2 linked regions of the Alligator mississippiensis genome follow. The protein of the gene in region 1 binds, or shares a complex with, the protein of each later gene. Links are inferred from orthologs where the notes say so. Each region holds a gene or a part of one and is shown on either strand. Other genes may lie near its edges. The genes, in order: DHX16 and CRNKL1.

Region 1 (10,343 bases):
AAGGAAGAGGCCTCCAGAAGGCTGCGTTATTTGGAATGGAAGGGAAGGGGACACAGATCCTGGAACCTCTGCTTGTGCCACAATCACCCACAACACCCCTAAGTGCTGGGGCACAGCCCTGCAAGGGGAGGAAGAAAGGCACATTTGGAGGCCTTTGCCAACTGGGCTGTGGAACAGGGATGCTGGCACTGGTCCAAGATCCAGCAACTTGTGACATACAGACAAGCATAAGCAAATCTTGAATGTAGGGAGAAAGGCCCCGTCTCCCATTCCTCCACTGCCCCCTGGTCCACGTGGTGCCCCTAGGTGGTGAACAGGTCCTAGCCCCAACCTTCTCCTGCTGGATGCCCTGCATCTGCACGGCGCTGACGAATTGGATCATCTCATCCTCCTCCAGCACGTACTCATAGTCCTTGTGGGGATGGTGCTGGCTGGCATCACGGGCCCCGAAGCGCAGGGCAGCCGCCCCAATGTGCTCCTCCTCCCAGCGCTGCTGCTCATCTCGGGGAGCCGTGCGCTCATCTGCCTGCGGCTCCTCATAGTGGTCGGGGATTTTCTGTAGAGACATGAGAGTTCTAGGGTATGAGTCAAGCCCCAGCAGAAATGGTCCCTGGCTGGAGGCTCACACACTGACCCTGGCTCTAGGTAAATCAGACTGGGTGACAGGCTCATCCAAGTCTCCTCCACTGCTGCATGGGCCACCCAAGAAGGAATCTCATTCCCTTTCTGACCAGTCCTACAGCCACCCACCAGGGCACTGAGCACCGCCACAGTCCACCCCCTCAACCCCCTGGTCCCCAGACACACCCTAAATCCCTCAACCCCCTCACCTTGGGCATGTCTCACAGGCCCTTTCTTTACCTCCCCAATCCCCAGGCAGGTCTCCCACACTAGAGAGTGCTACCTGAAAGGTGAGGAGCACCCACTATGGCTGCCCCATCCCCTCCTCCAGGGGGAAGATACCTTGCTGCGACTCTCCTCGGGGATGTAGTAGCGGTTGCTCTTCTCCAGTTTCTCCTTCTCGCCTGCCTGCTTGTACTCCTTGGCCAGGTCGCGCACCCGGCACTTGTACTCCAGCTCCCGCTGCTCCCGCGTCGTCAGCTCCAGCTCCGAGAAGAGGTATTTCTCATCTACAATCTCTGCCTCCAGATCCTCCAGCTTGTCCCGCTCCCGCTTGGCCAGGTAATCCCGGCGTGACTTCTTACGCAGCTCAGGAACCTGGAAGTGAGACATGGGGGGAAAAAGACCAGAGGTTAAACTCCTGGACACCTGGGTTCCAACCCCAGCTCTGGGAGGAGGAGAGGGAGCAAAAAGCCAGGACTCTTGGATCCTTTTTGATTCAAGGAGGTGGTTATGGAAAGGCTGACAAAGCAGATCAGAAGAGAGTGGATTTCCCAGTTCTGGCAGTGAGACCCTGGTGCAACCCTGGGCTAATCACTTGGGTGATCTGCCTCCGTTTCCCCTCTCTGCACAATGGAGTCATCAGCCTCTAAACAAGGGGGGTGGGGAAGGGACTGCACAGCAGCTCAGCTAAGCAAGAAGAACAAAGAAGTGAGGGAGAGATTGCTGGGCTAGATGGGGCCCATATGTCTGACGCACAAAGGCAGGACACCAAGACAGCGGGGCCTGCTGGCACAATCTGGGGCAGGACATCATGTTAGATGGGCCCTTCACTCTGATCCAGGGTAGTGAGACACTGGGCAAAATGAGCCAACAAATCCCTGGTCACCCACAAGAGAAGAAAGGGAAGGCGAAGGTGACAAAGCCCTTACCATGGATTTCTGATTCTCTTCTGCCATCTTCAGTCGCTTCTGAGCCTCCTCATAGGCCTGAGCTCAACAAAGAGGGGAAAGGGAGAGAAGTTCAAGTCATGCAGATGGCCCCAGATGGTCTCCTATACAGCCCTGACCCACCCCGTCCCTGGCCTTAACCTGCCTCTGGGGCTTAAAGGGCCCAGCAGGGCATATGGTGCACAGTCCCACGATGGGAAGGAGCTGGGGCTACCAGATACTACACCCTGCTCTGCTAATCACCCACTTCTTCACCCTCATGAAAGGAAATGGATCTGTCTCCTGCCCTGACTTCCACTTCAGCTTCTCCCTCCCTGCTGCCCTTGCATTCACTGGGTTTGCAATCAGCCCATCAAGAGGCGGGTATTATGGGCACTGGGGAGGGACCTCCAGGATCAGAGGCAGGTCGTAGGAGAGGAGTTGGGTCTAACCTCAGAGAGCAGGAAGGATCCCAGAGTAGCTGGGTCTGAGGACTGGGCAAACAGCCTCTCATTAGGGGATGGGACAGGGACTTGCCTTCTTGTCCGAGCACTCCAGAACATTCCTGGTCCGATCCTTGTCCTTTCGCCGGATCCGCTCAGCAAAGGCATCCCGCTCCTCCAGGTCCCGCAGGCGATCCCGCTCGCTCTGCTCCCACTCATCCTCCGAGTCCTTCTTTGGTGGGGACTGTGCTGCCTCCCTGCCAAGAGAAGCCAAGGCCATAGCACCAGAGAGCCCCAGGCATGGGCCTGGGTCCACTGCTGTGCCAAGCACTGCGAAGACAAGGAAGATGGCCCCCACTTCAGAGTACAGACAGAAGGGAAGAGCCCAAGAAAACACCGAGACAGTCCTGGCAGCATGGGGGCGGTGGTCTAAGAACATCAGCAACTTACTGCAAAGTCCTGCGAGTGTCGTGGAAAAGAAGGGCTACAAGAAATGATTGGAAGGAAGATTGTGAGCTAGTTTGTGGGATTTTACAGGGAGACCCTTCAGTGTGAGGGGCAGCACAAGGGGAAGTGTGGCTGGACATGTCTGAAACAAGAGGGCAATGGAAGCTGGCATTATGGGCTGACCAGAGGCAGAACATGACGTCTCACTATAGGGGGATGCCAGGCAAGGCGGCAGTTAGGCCGCAAGAGTGAACACACGCTGGTGTCTGACAGTGCAAAGGAGGAGCCCACAGAGACAAGCACGGAGAGGGGGGTGCAGTCACCAAGATGAGCTAGGAGAATGACCCTGGCAGCAGGATGGCGAAGGGCCAAGCTGCCTTGGTGAAGACTAGAAAAAGGGTGACTTTGAGGCACTGAGATGAAGTTTTAGTGATGTGGGTGGGCAGGGAAAACCAGCCTTTCAGGGGGTTACACAGAAAACAGCTGCAAGATTGACTCAGAGCCCAGACAGCAGAGCTTGCAGGAGAACCTGGTAAAAACGATGCCGACTGCATGGGCCGGGAGGACAGGCAGACTGCGGCCCTGCCCACACAGAGCTAAAAGCAGGCGAGCAAAACCAGAAGGCGGGGGCAGGGAGGCTAAGAGCTCTCTCCGACTTGGCCACATTGATTGCTGAGCAGGGCACGCACTGGGTGCCAGGCCGAGGCTTTGGCTGGGAGAGGGCTCTGGAGGACCCAGGTGGATCTGGGACACAGTGGTGGAGAGGTGGGGAGAGAGGTTCATCTCTGGGCGACTCCACCTGCAGGGAGAGGCCCGGCACCCCACCCACCCACCCACCCACCCACGCACCTCCCTGGCTCCGCCTCGCTCTCCTCTCCCGAGGTCTCGTCCCGCTTCCGGCGCAGATGCTTGCGCCGCTTCTTGTGCTTCCCTCCCTCGGGGCTGCGCACGGAGCCGGGGGTGCTGCCCCGGGCCCGGGCCCCCGCCCCCCGGCGCCGCCCGGCCTCCTCCGCCTCCTCCTCCTCGCTGTCCTCCAGCAGCTGGTACGAGCGGTTCTTCTGCTGCAGAGCCAGCGCCTCCCGCTCCGCTGCGCGCGACGGCCGCTCCGCAGGGGCCTGGCGCGGGATCTGGGGTGGCAGAAAGACATCGAGTCACTCCTCCGCCCTGACGCTTTCCTTTCCCCCCAGTGGTGCCCCGCCCCTTCCCCATTGGCTCCTCCCCCTCCTTCCTCAGTTCAGCTCCCCCCCCACACACTGCCCCTCCCCCTCAACCACGCTCGACGCCCGCCCAGCGGTGGCCCCGCCCCCAGTAGGAGGCCCCGCCCCCTCAGCTAGACCCCCCCCCCAGCCAGGTTCGATCCCCCCCGCGGCGGTGGCCCCGCCCCCAGAAAGAGGCCCCGCCCCGCCCCGGCGGCCCCGCCCACCTGGTCCCAGAGGCGCTGCGCGAAGCTGCGCACGGCCGGGTCGCTGACGTTCAGGGTCTCGGTCTGCTCCAGGCGGCCCAGCAGGTCCTCGGGGCTGTGGCTGCGCCGCGCCAGCCCCACCAGGAAGGCGGCCACGTGCCGCTCGCTCAGCCCCAGCAGCGCGTGCAGCTCCCCGGACACCCACCGCTCCAGAGCCGCGGGGCCGCCCCCCGCCATCTTCGTCCGCTGAAGGCCCCTTCGGGGCCACCGTCTCCGCTGCCAGCTTCAGTTTCCCGTCACGTGACGCCGCGGGCCAACCAGCGCACGGGCGGGGCGCCTGGAAGCGGCCGCTGAACTGCGCAGGCGCGCGGCGCTCTCGGCTTCGTCTGCCGTAATGCGTGAGCGATGAGCCGCGGGTGTGCGCCACATTAGGCGCTTCTACCGTAATTACATCAGCAGATGCCGTTGCACCTTCATGAAACCTTCACCAGGGGTGCGCTCCTGTGGGATGCTGCTGCTCTGGTCTGGCCCCTGGTGCCATAACTAGGAGCTATGAGTCACACCTGGCTTCTATGTTGCAGTGGAGGCACGTGGGATGCACCAAATCCTCTGCGCTGTGAGCTGAGCCTGGCCTCCCTTGGGACTGCTTCTGCCCTCGTTAACATAAAATGGGCCCTTAGCCAGGCACTTGTGCATCTTTACCATAATGACTGTAATCTGCGCTGCGCTGCACTGCGAACAGCAGCTGATGGGGCTTATGAGGCCTCGGGGCTTGCGGGCACTACCTGCGGGATCCCAAGTCCTTACTGTGATTTCAGCCCTTTAAGTTGCAAGTTACTCAGTGGAGGGACACGCAGCAAGGTGCAGCCAAGCCAGGTTGCTGTATGGGATCTGCACTGTGGTGAACCCAACCTGCTAGGAGAGAGGGGGGCTCTGCCCTCAGTTGTTGCCATCACTGCTCATGCAGGGGGTTTAATGCGGGCGGGGGGCTGTTCCAATCACTAGAGAGCAATAGTGTAACAGCGCGCAGGGTGCAAAAATAGCAACCACTGTAGGCACCTAGTGCTGCCCCGTCTGCTACACTGCCTCAGGCATGGAGTTGTCCTCCTATTACTCTCCCAGGAGCAAACGTGGTCCCAATCTGTGGCCCACCATCTGATTGCAGCTTTAATTGCTTTCTTGGACTTCAGCTGAAACCCATGCTCCCACCTCTTGCCTCAAACCCACGGTCTGAAGCAGTGTTACCAGGGCCACAGCTCCCAGCCAGCTCCTGACCTGGACCTATCCAGAAGCTGGCAGCATATGTATGTGCTGCCTCCTGACTTGGCTTCTGCCCGCAATTAATGGGGTATGAGTCAGCTTCCTACTCACCTGTTTTGTTTAACACCCCCTGTTCCTGTTTGACCACACGTGAGTCAACTTCCTGCTTAAATCTTTCTATAGATGTAAGGGACCGACAAGGGAGCTCATTTCCCTTCATTACCAGGCTTGAGTCAAACTATTAATTGCTACTATATTTCTATGCCCTTGAGTCACGCACTTCACGACATTTCTAGGCATAGGAGTTTTCTTCCCAATTGGCTTCCTGCTATAATTTACCAATGTATAACCTGTCTACCAAAGTAGCTTTGTTTTTTACAGGCCTGGATTTTACCCTATTTACAGATATAAGTTGATTTATCCTCTCCAGCCACATACCTCATTGTCTTCCAGCCAGAGAAGGTGCATTCTAGTTGGATGCCACACGAGGGATTCAGCAGCCCCATAGGATGTGACCCTTGTAGCACTAACTGGGAGATTCCAGGTGTAAGGCAAAGGACAGCAGAGCTTTGTGCTGCTGTGATGGAGAGAATGTGACAGGGAACAGCACTGGGTGCATCCACTGTGTGTGATCACCGAGTGTGTGTGCTACCAAGAGCAGAGCCAGGTCTCTGGCCAAAGAGCAGGGGCAGCTGCATTTCAGCATCCCAGTTAAGAGATTGAGATGAGTTTCTTTAGATGGGTTTTTGTAGTGTAGTTGTTATCATATTTGCCTAAGATGTGAAAGGTCCCTGGTTTGAGACTGGGCAGAAACAAGAGCCTGTTTTTTTTAGCCTACCCTGAAAATCTTTAAGAGGAGACTGGACAGGCACTTTGCTGGGGTCACCTGACCCCTGTTGTTTTTCCTGCTCCATGCAGGGAGCTGGGCCCAATGATCTTCTAAGGTCCCTTCCAGCTTTACAATCTATGAATCTATGAGATGCAGATCTGGGTTCATTTCAGGCTGTGACTTCCAAATAAGGGCTGCAAGGGAGACAGGTCCTTGCAGTGCCATCTGCCATCCATGGGGAGTGCATGGGAGCTGTGTCCTCATGATCTGGTCCATTACCCTAGGAGCTGAGGTAAACACAGGTAACAGAAGGCCAGGTCCACGTGCAACACTGCTCTCTTTTATTATTATTATTATTATTATTATTATAAAATAAAAAACGCTGTTGGGAAAAAGGTCAGAGGTGACCCCCAAACCTTCCACCTTCCCCTCCCCCTCACTCCCTGCTGCAGCTCAGACCTGGCACGGACATGGGTTAAGTTAAGAGAGGTCATGACGCCCTGTATCTCTCTCACCCTCCCCAGCTGGCTGCCCCTGCCACTGTCCGGGCAGGCGGCTGCAGTCCCTAGCAGCAGGCAAGGGTGCATCTGTTCCTTCCAGTGCAAAAGGAAAGGAAAAGACATGGATCACAATACTGAGAACAAGCTGAGCTCATCGGGGAGGGGACGACTGCAGCCAGTTCCTCACTCTGCCCTTCACCCCTTCATCTGATTCCACAGTTGCTCCATGCTCAGACCTGCTCATCTGGACCTCCACAGAAGGAGGTAAATAATGTTGCTCCATCTAAACAGGAAACGGAGTGGCTAAACAAGGAAGTCATACCTCTATCCTTCCCTCCTCTTCCCTGCTGCCTCTACTTTCAGCTGGCTCCTCCCCAGATCCCTACTGACTCTACCTCCTGTGTCGTGTCCCATCTCCCCCCGCCCCCCCCGCCCTGAAAAAACACATATTGCCCTCCCCTCTCTGGGCATCAGGTCTTGCACCATGTACATAAAAATGGCTATGCCCAAATGTAACTAGCTCCCCCGCAACCCCACCCACCTCAACCCCTTCTGAAGTCCCAATCTGCCCCACCCACTAATACTGCCTGGATGTCCTCCTATTGACAACAGGACCCCCCACCAGTCACAGACTGGCCAGCCCCCTGTACCAGTTGGCTCTGCCCCAATTACATATGAACCCCAACAAGTAACAAATGGAACCCTGCCCCTCCCCAATACCAACAGCACTTGTCCCGTGTCCCCACCTGCCTCGTGCCCTCCCTCAACGGTAGAATCCCCTTAACTGTGACCCCTGTGACAGCTTTGTTAGAAAATAAAAACCCCTGTAACAAAAGTCAACCCCTCCCCCTCCCCTCCATACCCCACCCCACCCCACCCCAGTCCCTTACAAAACAGGGTGCAGAATTACAAAAGAAGCTTGTGCGGGTGTGTCTGGGAGCAGTTTTCACTGCCCCCGACCCCCACCACTGAGTCCATCCCTGCCCAGCTCTCCTACTGTTTCTGTGGCAGGCAGCAGGTGGAATCAGCTCTCAATACAGTCCATGGGATTAAAGAGCTCTCCCAGCAGCGGGAAGCAGAGCTCCCAGCACAGTGCAGGTGGGTGGGGGGTTCTTCTTTGTGGCTCCCTGGATCACATGTTGTTCCTTGGCCTCAATTCCCAGCTGGGCCATGCCGGGAGTAGTCAAAGAGATGGACAGTATCCCAGCTCCACTGTCCTGATAACAGCAAGAGGGACCTGGGGCTATCAGCCCTCCAGTGCTTGCTCTGTTTCAGCCCCCTTCTTGCTGGGACTTTACTGGAAGACAAAAGAGACGGGGCTGGCTGGGACCCCATTGTGACAGGGCAACTTCTGGATCAGCCCTGCTTCCCCCGCTGTAAGGAGGAGCTCACGAGGCTACCGCCTGCAGGATTCATCTGTCAGGAGAGAAAAAAAAAGGGGGAACTGAGTAGGGAAGCAGAGGTAGCAACTGGAGAACCAAAAGGGGAAGGGAAGCCAGGAGTCCACGCTCCCAGGCTCCAGGGCTCGAAATCACCAGGCCCCTCCTTCCCTCCCATGCTGGAGAGAGGTCGCAGGTATCCCACCTCCAAGCCCCCACAAACACATCTCTAACCCTCCCTCACCCCACTGTGTGCCCCAAGGTGAGAAGAGAGCCCAGGTGTCCTGCCTTGCAGCTCCCCAGTACTCTGATCCACTAGGTGCTTGACCACAGCAGCAAGGCGCACTGGGAAACTGGAAGTGAGCGAGGGGGCTGGGAGCACAGCTGCAGCTACACAGGTTGCAGGGGAGGAACAATTTGTCAGACACATGGAAACTGGAATAGGCTGGATGGATGCCTTTGTTCCAGGGCATGAGCTGCACCCCGCCATTCCCCGCGACAGCCAGCAGATGGAGCCCTCAGGCCTGCAGTGGGGTGAGCAATAGCCTTGCCCAGGGGTGGGCAGCACAGCAGAGAGATGCTAAGATTTTCCAGGTGGTCCTTCAGGGCTGACTACACCCTGTTCCCGTGGCACAGTGCCCCTTATGGCATGGGATCAGCCCTGCCTGCCAGAAACAGCATCCCCCACCCCAACCTCCAGCAGCACAGGAGACTCACCCACAATGAGGGGCTTGGTCCCGAGCACCCCTGGGATGCCCCGATGAAGAAGCAGAAGCTCCTCCTCTTCCTCATCGTCCTCCCCATGGGGGTTGGCCGAGGGTGGGAGGTCCAACTCCTCAGGGGGTCCAAACTCCTCCAGCAAGGACCCCTCCGATGGGTACTGGAAAGTGCGCTCCAGCTGGCTCTCGCTGAATGAAATCTTCAGCTGCATGGGAAAGGCAGGGAGGATCAGACCAGCAAGCCCATCTAGCCTGGCATCTCAGCCCCTCTCCACCCCCTGCCTGGATTGCCATCTAGCCTGGAGTCCTGCCTCTTAGCATACTGGATAGATGCTTGTCTCCCCTGTCCCCCATCAAGCAAGACCCTGTAATTACCAATTGCTGTGTCCTGTCTTAGGCCCTGCAGTAACATGCCAATGGGGTGTACGCATGGCATGAAGAGCCCCTGCAACAACAAGTCTGGGCTTGGGCTCCACCACTCTCGAGGGGCCCTACAATAACACCTGTGTGCTGAGGCCTGGAGACCCTTCAGGAGCAAACGATACAGGCTGAGAAATCCACCCCTCCCCAACAAACCACAGGACCCAGCCCCAGAGCTGGGACCCACTCCACCAACAACACACCCACAGTCCCACAATAACGCCCACGTGCTGAGCTTCCCTGCTGCCAAGAGCCCCTCCAGCAGTAGCCGTTTCATACTCAAGGCTCCACTTGTTCGATTCAAAGTCCCCCTCATTAAATTCAAGGCACCCTTTGGAAGGTGCCAGCTCTTTGTTTTTACTCTTTTTTTACTACAGAAAAATAATAGAACGATTCTTCTGTTGCAAAGAACTCAGACAGACCACCAAAGGTCAGAATGCTTTTAACACTATGGGTTCCTATCTGAAATCTCTGGGTTTATCTTGTGTAGTATGTTTGCACCTTAGCAGTGCTAACATTGTGTGGCACCCCATGGCACCCTTGAAATGGTGTAAAGGTACCCCAGGGGGGCTGCAACATCCTGGTTGAGACTTCCTGTCCTACAACAACAAAGCAGTAACATTAGACCCTCCAGTAACAGAGCAGTCAATTAAGCCCCTTGCTGCTTACAGGAGACCCTAGCATAACAAACCCTTTGGGAGCCTTCATGACTCTCTCCCCTCTGCCATGGGGTCTGGTGGGTGCCCCTGCCAAGAGGGTGCCCCTGCCCCCACCCCAGCCAGGCACAGAGCAGCAGGAGACACAGCAGGAGATAAACCCTGCAGGAAATGAGATTAGTTGTCCTGTCCTGCCTGCAGAGAAAAACGATTTCACCAAGGGCAACAGCCTCCTCTTCACCTTGAGGTGCAGCCAGGCTAGGCCACAAATAGCGATAGGGGAAGGAGGGGCCCTAATGCAGCACTTGGATATGCCCACGCCACGTCTGGGGTAGAGCAGGTGGAGTCGTAGCCGCACAGGGATCACACCCCTGGTGCTGAGATGCAACCGCCTCTGAGGTGGGACGGCTGGGTCATAGCCACACAGCCGCTGGGGGCAAGAAGGGAAAGTGTCAGGACTCTGCCTGATCATGGCTGTGGGGCGCAGGATTTTGGATAGTAGTATGGAGCTGAGTTCTG
Region 2 (9,659 bases), on another chromosome or scaffold:
ATGCAAAAAGAAATTTATTACTGCGCCACTAACAGAGATAAAAACTTTTGCCTTCTTTGCTTTATATAAATCATTACAACTGGTCAGAATGACAGGGGAGTGTCCCTATGACAAACACCCTAATAAAAACCACTATACAATTGGCGATTCTCATTAAATTTATGACGTGGCAAAAAACAGCTGGCTAATATACAAATAAAACCCGTCTTCACTTCCGTGAAGAACGGGAGACCTCCGCGCACACACCTAAAAAACCTCTGAACGTATGCCTAAAAATAACTGACAAATTGATCACTTGTCAGTCTCAAATACCCGCCTGACAGCCTTCTAAGGCCCCGGACCCTTATCTGCCCGGGTGAGAGTCAGGGAGAGCTGCTGGCCGGCTGCCCTGGGTCCCGACATGGCGTCACAAACAGGATTAAGGGGAAATGTGATGGAGTGAAAATTAATTAAGAACTGCCCCTGGTGTAGTGGGGGGTCCCGCATACATAACGCGGATAAATTATGGGCCCACATCGCTTATCACCAAGCAAGCAGAGCGGAGACAGGGTGCGTCAGCGGCTACTTCTTGCTGAGAGGAGAGGAGGGAGTCGGAAAGGAATGGGCAAGCTCCGAGTGGGACAAAAAAAAGATGATTAATGTAGTGTCACTCCTACTGCATAAAAATACAAACTTAAAAACCCAGTTAGCTACAGGCAGCAAAGCTGCTGTGGAGATGACAGCGTGCCAAAACCCTCCGTTGCCACAAAAAAATGACACCAAAAAAATATGAGCTGCCCGGAGGACCTAAAAAAGAAGGGCAGAGCCACAAAAGAACAGGTGGGACTCCACCCAACAAGCCCGCCCCCTGAGATGACGTCGCTCCCAACGGCCCCACCTCTGTCCCACAGGGAGGGGACAACGAGCGAGAATCCGATCCTCCCACCAGACACAATAACAACTACAGCTGCCGCTCATCCTATAACAATAACCAAGCAAATAACCAACCCAGAGGGTGCAACCACCACCACCACCCTTGATGTCATCAAAGCATACATGGAGATTTATAAAAAAGAGGACACCATCACCCTTCGCCTTCTCCTCAACCTGCTCGTTACTCAGCCAGCAGAAAATCTTTTAAGTCAACTTCCACGACTACAAGCCCTTGTAAAGTCAACAACCGCAAACTCAGCCATGGCCATAAGCTATCTTACTGCATATCCAGTCAAATACCAAAGACCAAGACATTCCCAATTCAACTCACGAAAAAAATCAAGACTGCCATCCCAGAGGACACCAGAGGAAAGAGCCATGTTTGGGTTCCTCCTAAACTACTTCACGCTTACCAAACAACGGCTGCACATCCTAGAAGATGCGGGACAATGACAACTGACACATATACTAGGCTACCAACCTCGACCGATCCCGCCAACTGGTCCGGGCCCCGGAGGCACCCACGCCTAACAGCGCACTCTGGATAACACCGCAGCCTGCCCCAACAAACAACTACTCGAAGGGGGCATCTATAAACTATTCCAACCACTACGACATTATGCTCGTAGATATACAAAAGACAATTTTATTATTTTTTAGTTTTCTTTGTTTGTTTGTCTGTTCGTTTATTTTGTTCCCTTACAGGCCCAGCGGTGACGAAGAGACAATCTGTGACTGCCCGATCACAAAAATCACCGAACACCAATCTGCAGCACACCTGAGTCGACGACACAATGACCGCCCCTGCTCATATGTTGCAAGCAGGGTCGTCGCTCTATTCCTGCTGTTACCAACAGTTTCTTCGGCGAACGGAGCTGACTTCAAAACCTCCAACTCGGTCCTCAACCTTTTGTCATTTTAGGCCAAAGACATAACTAATGACTCATTTAATGGTTTTTCTTTTCCTGTTAATGATCTTATACATACTTGTTTGTTTTGTTTTAAAGCCTGTTTGAGACTTTACGCAATAAAACCAAGTCATAATGTTTTGAATAAAAAGCTCTAAATTATTAAAAAAACCCCAACATTGATAGTCTGAAGGTTTGGGGGATGTCACAAAAAAGTCGGATATAGACAAAAACATTGATTAAAAAAACGTAAAAAAAGAGATGAGGGAGATGATGATAAAAGGGGACAAATAGTCAAGGTTCTAAAGGAACCTATACATTCAAAGAAGAGGAAAAGAAATGGTTTGAGAAGAGAGGTGACAATAAAAAAAAGCCGCTAATGACAATACAAAAAATTGGTGTTTTCAGAGCTACGATTTAACTCAAATATAATAAGCCACAATTTTAAAAACCCTCCGTATAGGGGGCATTAATCTGATACCTCACTCTCAGTTACCTTAAAAAAATCGAATTAAAAAAAATTACATAAAATCAAAAATAACAGTTTACTGCGTTTAAGTTAATTCAAGTGTCGGCATCTTTGATTATCTTGTGTTTACCATGGATCATAATAGCCATTGTTATATTTGTGTGTTTTAGTTGTTGGATTTTACAATATCTCAAAACTAAGTTAACCACGCTTTTTGCTTTTATATACACTCGCTTGCCAAACACTAACAATGATAAACAAAATGGTCTATATATAAACATGATGTGACTTGCTGTGCCATGGACAAGGGGACATGTCACAACCAAATTAAATAGTGCCCATGTCACAAACAAGTAAAACCATTCAAAACAGTTTTTTTCTACACTAGGTTAACTAAGGGTTAACAATAATGATAGTAACCGCTTTTTTGCTGCGCATGCAAAAAGAAATTTATTACTGCGCCACTAACAGAGATAAAAACTTTTGCCTTCTTTGCTTTATATAAATCATTACAATTGGTCGGAATGACAGGGGAGTGTCCCTATGACAAACACCCTAATAAAAACCACTATACAATTGGCGATTCTCATTAAATTTATGACGTGACAAAAAACAATTGGCTAATATACAAATAAAACCCGTCTTCACTTCCGTGAAGAACGGGAGACCTCCGCACACACACCTAAAAAACCTCTAAATGTATGCGTAAAAATAACTGACAAATTGATCACTTGTCAGTCTCCCCCGTCTCGACCTTATCAGACGTAAATCAATGACCTGCCGGCCCGATTTTTTCTCCGTTTATCTGCCCGACCAACGAACTCTTATACAGACCGACCTATGACCTACGAACCTTAAGCTATAACTAACCAAGTATCTCTGACCTCCGCTATTCACCACCTTGATGGCATAAATAAATAATCTTGCTTTACAACCGATAAGCGTCCGCCTAATTAATTCCACTCCAAGCTTCACAAATACCCACCTGACAGCCTTCTAAGGCCCTGGACCCTTATCTGCCCGGGTGAGAGTCAGAGAGAGCTGCTGGCCGCTGCCCTGGGTCCTGACACATCTCATCTTATAATTTCTATACACTTTATAGAGACAGGAGCCCCTACCTCATCCCAACTTCCCAATACCATATTGCATCGCAGGTCCCAATCCTAGATGCTCATACTTGTGGGAAGGCCCCTATAACCACCCAGTATCCAAGTCACAGTCATGGGTTTTATTGTGTAGAACTAGACCTTACCAACTAAATCAGGGGTAGGCAATTATTTGGGCTGGAGGACCACTTAAGAAGTGGATCATGGCTCTGCCCCATGCTGTTACCACCCTACAATCTCAGCCCTGGCCCCAGCCACCCATCCTGTTCCTGGACGCTGCTCCCCGCCTGCCCGCAGCCCCATGCCAACCACCAAAACATAACATGCCCTGCCTGCAGGGGTCCTTGGCAGGTCTCCATGGAGATACTGCCTGCCTGGCACCCCTTCTGACCCTGAAAATCTATGAGATTGAGGGCAGTGGTTCTCTCCCAGGCCTTTTATCCGTATCTTCTCTTCCAGCTGGTCAGAGACTTTGACCCTCTAAATAAAGGCCTCTACCATCACTCGTTCACTGTACACATCCTCTAAAGGCTACTAATGTCACATCCCTTATTCACTAACACAGGCTCACATGGACTTGTTTCCCATTACAGGAAGACTAGCAAGAATGCATCTGCAGAACCAATTATGCTCACTTGGGCAAACAAGTGACCGTGTAAGAAAAATGTCAGCAGTTACAATGCTGCTGAGGGCAGAGGTGCAACCTCCTTGGATGGCTGACAGGCAGACCCAGATTTGCTAATAAGCAAAGGGAAATCCCCACTTCTTACATTCCTTAAGAGGCCGCCTCAGCGGCATGACAAAGTTGGCAGCTGGGGGGAAACTCTACGGGGGAGCATGGAGGAAGGCAGGGGTTGGTGCACAGGCTCTGACAGTTGGGGGACAGGGGGCCAAAGTTCTAAAAGGAGAGCTGGGGCGCAGCAGCCTTACCCATGCTGGGACTCCTACACCATCCCAGCTGAGCTGCTGCTGTCACCACTTGTGCTCAGCCTGCCTCATCTGTTGCTCTTAAAGCAGTAGCAGGCAAGCTGTTTCAGAGTTCCCAGGAAGGCAATGCTGCTGAGGCTCAGACTCCACAAGGGTGGTGGGTAATCCTGGCACCTCTCCTAACTTGGCATCAGGAGCAAGAGGCAGGGGCCTCTAGTAATGCTGTGGGTCTCCCTGCCCCACCACAACTGTGATTCCCCTCTCCTTAGCCATGCATCCCTGCACTTTTACATGTGAGGGCACTATATCTGTAGGGTGGCCCACATGCAGGGCTATTGTAGAATCAAAGAAAATGACGGTTAGGAGGGATCTCAGGAGGTCATCTAGTCTAGTCTTCTCAAAGCAGGATCATCCCCAACTAGATCATTCCAGTCAGGGCTTTGTCTAGCCAGGTCTTCAAAACCTCCAAGGATGGAGCTTCCACCACCTCTCTGGGTAACCTGTTCCTGTGCTTCACCACCCTCCTAGTGAGAAAATTCTTCCTAACATCTTCCCATTTGATGCCTTTTTTTCAAGTGAGCACATGAGAGAGCAAACTCTTGCTGAGGGCAGCTCAGCTGGGCTATAAAGTGTACTTCTCCCTGCCTGACTTCAGGCTCATCGGGCAAGCTGCCTCTCCCAAGTCCTACATGGCAAGCACCCGCCTGGCCGCGCAGACCTGCAACAGGGGAGGAGGCTGCGGCTGGGGAAGCCAGAAATGGCTAGGCAGCACCGCCCCAGGGAGGGCCCCATCACCCCGCCCCGCAGTGCCCCGGGCGGGCGCGAGGGGTCGCACAAGGGACGACCGAGGGGAGAGGGAGGAAATGTTGGGCGGCAGGAGTGCCGCGCGGCATGCTGGGTGTGGTAGTTCCGGCCCGCGCGGCATGCTGGGGGATGCAGTTCGTGGCGCGAGCCCAGGGGAGACCGCTGCTATCCTCGCGGCCCACAGCGTCACTCACCTCGGCAGGATGGAGCAGATCGGAGTGCCCGGCCCTCGGGCTGCTGGGGCGGCGCGGGCAGGGGCGGGGCGCCCTGCAGGAGCCGAGGCGAGCGGCGGCGCCGGGAGGACGCAGGAGCGGTCGCAGCCGCAGCAACGGATCAGCCGCGGGAGACGCGCCGCCGCCGTTACCGCGGCAACGACCCGGGCGACTCCGCGCATGCGCGCGGGGCGGAGGTGAAAGGTCAGGGCTGAGGCCTCTCGGGCCCGGAGAGGCGGTAACATGGCGTCTACGGCGGCCGGCAAGCAGCGGATCCCCAAAGTGGCGAAGGTGCGCGCGAGCGGTGCTGTGGGGGGATAGAGTGTCCGTGACCTGCCCCTCCCCCCCCCCCCCGCTCCTGCGGGGTGCGCAGCCCGGCGGGGTGGTGGGAGGGGCAGGGCCCGGGCCCGCGGCCGGGACCTACCAAGTGCGTGTTGCCGCGAGGGGGGCGCAGCTTGGAGCACCGGGGTGGGGAGGGTGCCGTGACGCAAGCGGCCGTCTCAGCGCCTCCTTCCCCCCCCCCCCCCCCGCTGCCAGGAGTTCCACGGTGATGGGATTTGTACCTTCATTCAACCCTTGTAGGGTGCACCATCAATCACAGTCAATGTGCTCACACTGCACACTCATTTTTGAGGAAGCGCCTTGATGCAAAACCCAAGTTGCTCTCGGGGAGACAACTGACCTTTGGGTTGTTGTTTTTTTATTAATATATTTAATGTTCCAGGTCAAATCAGCTCTGTATCATATCAATTGGGCAGAACTCAGTCATGCCCAAAACAGTGTGGGTTGAGCAGGTAGAGCTCAATAGTTGTAAACACTATGTATGGTGGTAGCATCCTCCATGCCAGCCTCTCATGTTGGGACTTTGTGGACTCCCAAATCTATTGGCAGGTGTCCTGCGTGCAGGCTCAAGCCTGGAGGTCTTGCGATTCAGATGCTGTCCTTGCAAAAGGCTGCTTGATCTTAGCCCACAAGAGGCCAAGAAGTGATTCAGATCATATCAATTGAGCTATCAGCACTTACTTGTGATGGCTTCCCTCAAAATAAAGAAATGCTCCGACTCTAACCCAGTTCTCATTCACTCCCTGGAAAGTTACCAGGAGCAGTATAGAGTAAATCACATTTATTTGCATACTTATTTCCATATTTTTCTGTGTACAATAGGTTTTTAAACACGTACAATAATTTTGAGCTTCCAATACGATAATTTCATATTTAAGACCTGGTAATTTAAGACCCTCAGATTTGTCACAGCTAGGCCAGGGCTGGGTCTCTCAGCCACGGCTTCTTCGGGCTAATAAATCATGCTACTGCCTCTCAGTAAACTCTTCTACATCAGCTTTGGGGTTTGGTCACTAAAAGGCACAAGTCAGGCCGGCCTTGGGGCCAGAGAGGTCCCCATGGGAGTCATGGCCTCTGCTGCTGCCGCTCCAGCTCCCAGTGTCCTGCCACAGGTTCAAATGAAAGCCAGGTAGAAATCAGCTGTCAAGTGGTTGCACATTTTCGAGCACTCACATTGTAAGCGGCTACCTCTTCTTAAAGCCGGACAGTCCTTTTTTTGCTGTGATAACGACTTTGGGCTGAATTTATTGTGCAATTGACTGCTTTGTTGTGTAATGTATGTAACGTGCAGCATGGGCCCCATTGGCAGCTTCTGCCTTTGCTGTGGCACCAGGTGACAAGCACGGGCCAGGCTCCTGCCCTGCATCCCAATTGGGCAGACTTGCTTGGGAGCCAGCGATGTCATGGGCGCTCCACCGTAGCCTGCGTAGAGGCTGGTGCACTTAAGCAGGGGCCTGTGCACAGGAGCTGCCTGTGTGGAGCTCAGTGCAGGATTGGAGCCTTTGCATGGCTGTACCTAAGTCACTCAAATGCAGATTTTATTTTTTGCTTTAAATAGTGTAAACAGGGGTATCAGACTTACCTTGTGCCCCAGGTCATATCCAGACCACAGGGCTCTTTGCAAGCCAGATGCATCCCAGGATATGAAGAAACTACAGCAACAGTGGTCGCTCTTGGAGCAAGCCTTGGCTACAGCTTTGTGTCGTGGAGGATGCACCCCTATCTGCTTGCAGACAGGACTCCCTATGGGAGGCTCATAATTAGCTTCCCACTGACCAGCTTCCAGTGGGAGGATCACAGCTACACATCGCCTTCATGGGAGACTCTTCTGTAGCTTGCTTCTGCGTCCATATGGCTGGGAGCAAGTGAAACATGGGGGCATCTGAACCCCAAGCTTCCGGGCTTGTGCCTGCACGTAGGATGCCTACCAAAGGATTTGGAAGTATCTGAAGCCCCAGACTTGGTGGAGGATACTTGCCAGTAATAGGGCCACATAAAGTTTTTGAATGATTCCAGGGATTTGGAACTGATCTGGCTAATTTAACCTGGAACACAAAAATTTTTCCTTCAAAAAAAAAAAAAAAATTGCAGTGGTCACAGTTCTGAGCTCTGACCTAAAGCACATAATAGCAGCTCCAGTCTGGTGCTGGAACAGTTGTCACATGTCCCATCCCACATGTGGTGGTAGCTCCAGCACAGGACATGCGGCAGGGACCAGCATTCTCCTTGTCCTCCTGCTGCCAATTGCCATGTCCACCCTGAATTCTGTGGCAGGCCACTCCAGTAGTCCAGTGGGCGCCAGGGGCTCAGTCTGGCCCCTGAGCGGTGTGTTTGACACACCTGATGTAGTGGAATGGAAATAAGAAAATGGAATCCTCCAGGCTACCAGTAGGGGCAGTGTTACTGCCACGGCATTATAATTAGTTACCTAGCCCAAGGGTTGGCGACCTTTTACAAACAGTGGACTGGTGCTTGCAATCTGGCTGCTCCCAATCCCTGCTGCACTGTTCCTTCCCATAGTGTCCCTGCTGCTGCCTCCACTTACCTGCATCTTCCAGTGCTGCAGATTTGCTGTCTGAAACATCAGTGAGGAGGGGTGAATTTGGCAGTGAGAGTAAGCACTGGCTGTTTTAACAGGCATGAGAGCTGCAGAAAGGGGCATTATGGAGGGGATCAGCAGCATGGTGCAGGGCAGAGAAGGGGAAGGTGTCAGGGCAAGCTGTTGCGTGCTGTAGATCCTACATGCCACCACAGGCCAGATCCAGACCTCTTTGCAGGCTGGATCCAGCCTGTAGGCTGCCAATTCCTGGTCTAGTCTATTGCTAATATTATGATCAGATACTAAGTCCAACATAGGTGACTTGTACACCCATGAGGATCCTCAGTGACACATTCCACTTTTTAAAACAAGCAGTCCTTTGAAATTGCAATGGTCAGTAGACTGACCACAACCCTTAGTTCTAAAACATGTGTATACACACCTTACTGCTGTGCTCGTGCATATAAAATTTAGCATATGGGTGAGTTTTATCCAATTAAAACGTTATAGCTTGTAGCAAGCTTGGCTGCCTGCACTCCTGGGCTGGAAGCCCCAGTCAGCTGATCGCAGGTCCCAGCCATGAGAGAGCACCAGGTGATCCCACAGCTGAGAGCTCAGATCAGTTATCAGTGCTCCCAGCCATGGAAGTACATGTTGCTCTCCCCTGGCTGGGAGCTCTGATTGAGCATGTGCAGCCTCTGGAGCACATGGGAATCTGGAAAGGCTCCAGTGTGCTCCAGAGGCTGGGAACACTTCCCATACATACAATTACAGACAGTTAAGTAGTTAAGGCCCCTGACAGATGTTACACTTATAATTATATTCTAATATTATAAAAGCCTAAATCTGTCTGTCCATCCGTCTGGCCATAATGCTTTATTCGCGCTCTGATTGGCTGACAAACAGCCAATCAGAGCGTGAAGAAGCATTTGGATAGGTGGCAGCCCGCCGTCATGATGGCGGGGGCACAGGAGATGAGCGAAGGGGGGCCTGCTCCTCCCACCTTGCCTTGGTCCCCCCGCTGCCCTGCTCCCCAGAGAAAGTTGAAACAGGGTGTCAATTTATAAAGGTTGTACGTGCAAAACATTGTAACTTGAAACGTAAGTCAAGGACTGCCTGTATTTACCATCCCACTTCTCTCTCAGTCTATCACTAGTCACACTGGGGGAATTTCACACAGCAAAATAACTGAATTAACTCAAGTCAGCAGATTTTTCAGTATTATATGGAATTTTTTAAAAAATCAAATAAAAATGATTTTTTTTTTCCTAAGGTGAAAAATAAAGCCCCAGCGGAAGTACAGATCACAGCAGAACAGCTCTTGAGAGAAGCGAAAGAGAGAGAACTTGAGCTTCTTCCGCCCCCTCCCCAGCAGAAGATCACTGATGAGGAAGAGCTAAATGATTACAAGCTTCGGAAAAGGAAGGTATGTGCACAGCT

Evidence for each region.
Region 2: DHX16 (region 1) and CRNKL1 share a complex: the UniProt entries of both Homo sapiens proteins name them as parts of the minor spliceosome. The link is inferred for Alligator mississippiensis from reciprocal best matches to the Homo sapiens genes DHX16 and CRNKL1.

Annotation. Positions count from the first base shown.
Region 1 is NC_081834.1:53,490,585-53,500,927, reverse strand, and holds the start of DHX16 (pre-mRNA-splicing factor ATP-dependent RNA helicase DHX16), read right to left. Parts: upstream 4,420-10,343; 5' UTR 4,299-4,419; coding exon 4,083-4,298; intron 3,787-4,082; coding exon 3,509-3,786; intron 2,470-3,508; coding exon 2,307-2,469; intron 1,830-2,306; coding exon 1,773-1,829; intron 1,219-1,772; coding exon 964-1,218; intron 557-963; coding exon 332-556; intron 1-331. Other genes in the region: PPP1R18 (phostensin), read right to left, coding at 8,047-8,066, 8,747-8,954. UniProt on the Homo sapiens protein: Required for pre-mRNA splicing as a component of the spliceosome. Contributes to pre-mRNA splicing after spliceosome formation and prior to the first transesterification reaction.
Region 2 is NC_081824.1:229,711,147-229,720,805, forward strand, and holds the start of CRNKL1 (crooked neck-like protein 1), read left to right. Parts: upstream 1-5,523; 5' UTR 5,524-5,581; coding exon 5,582-5,629; intron 5,630-9,492; coding exon 9,493-9,645; intron 9,646-9,659. UniProt on the Homo sapiens protein: Involved in pre-mRNA splicing process. As a component of the minor spliceosome, involved in the splicing of U12-type introns in pre-mRNAs.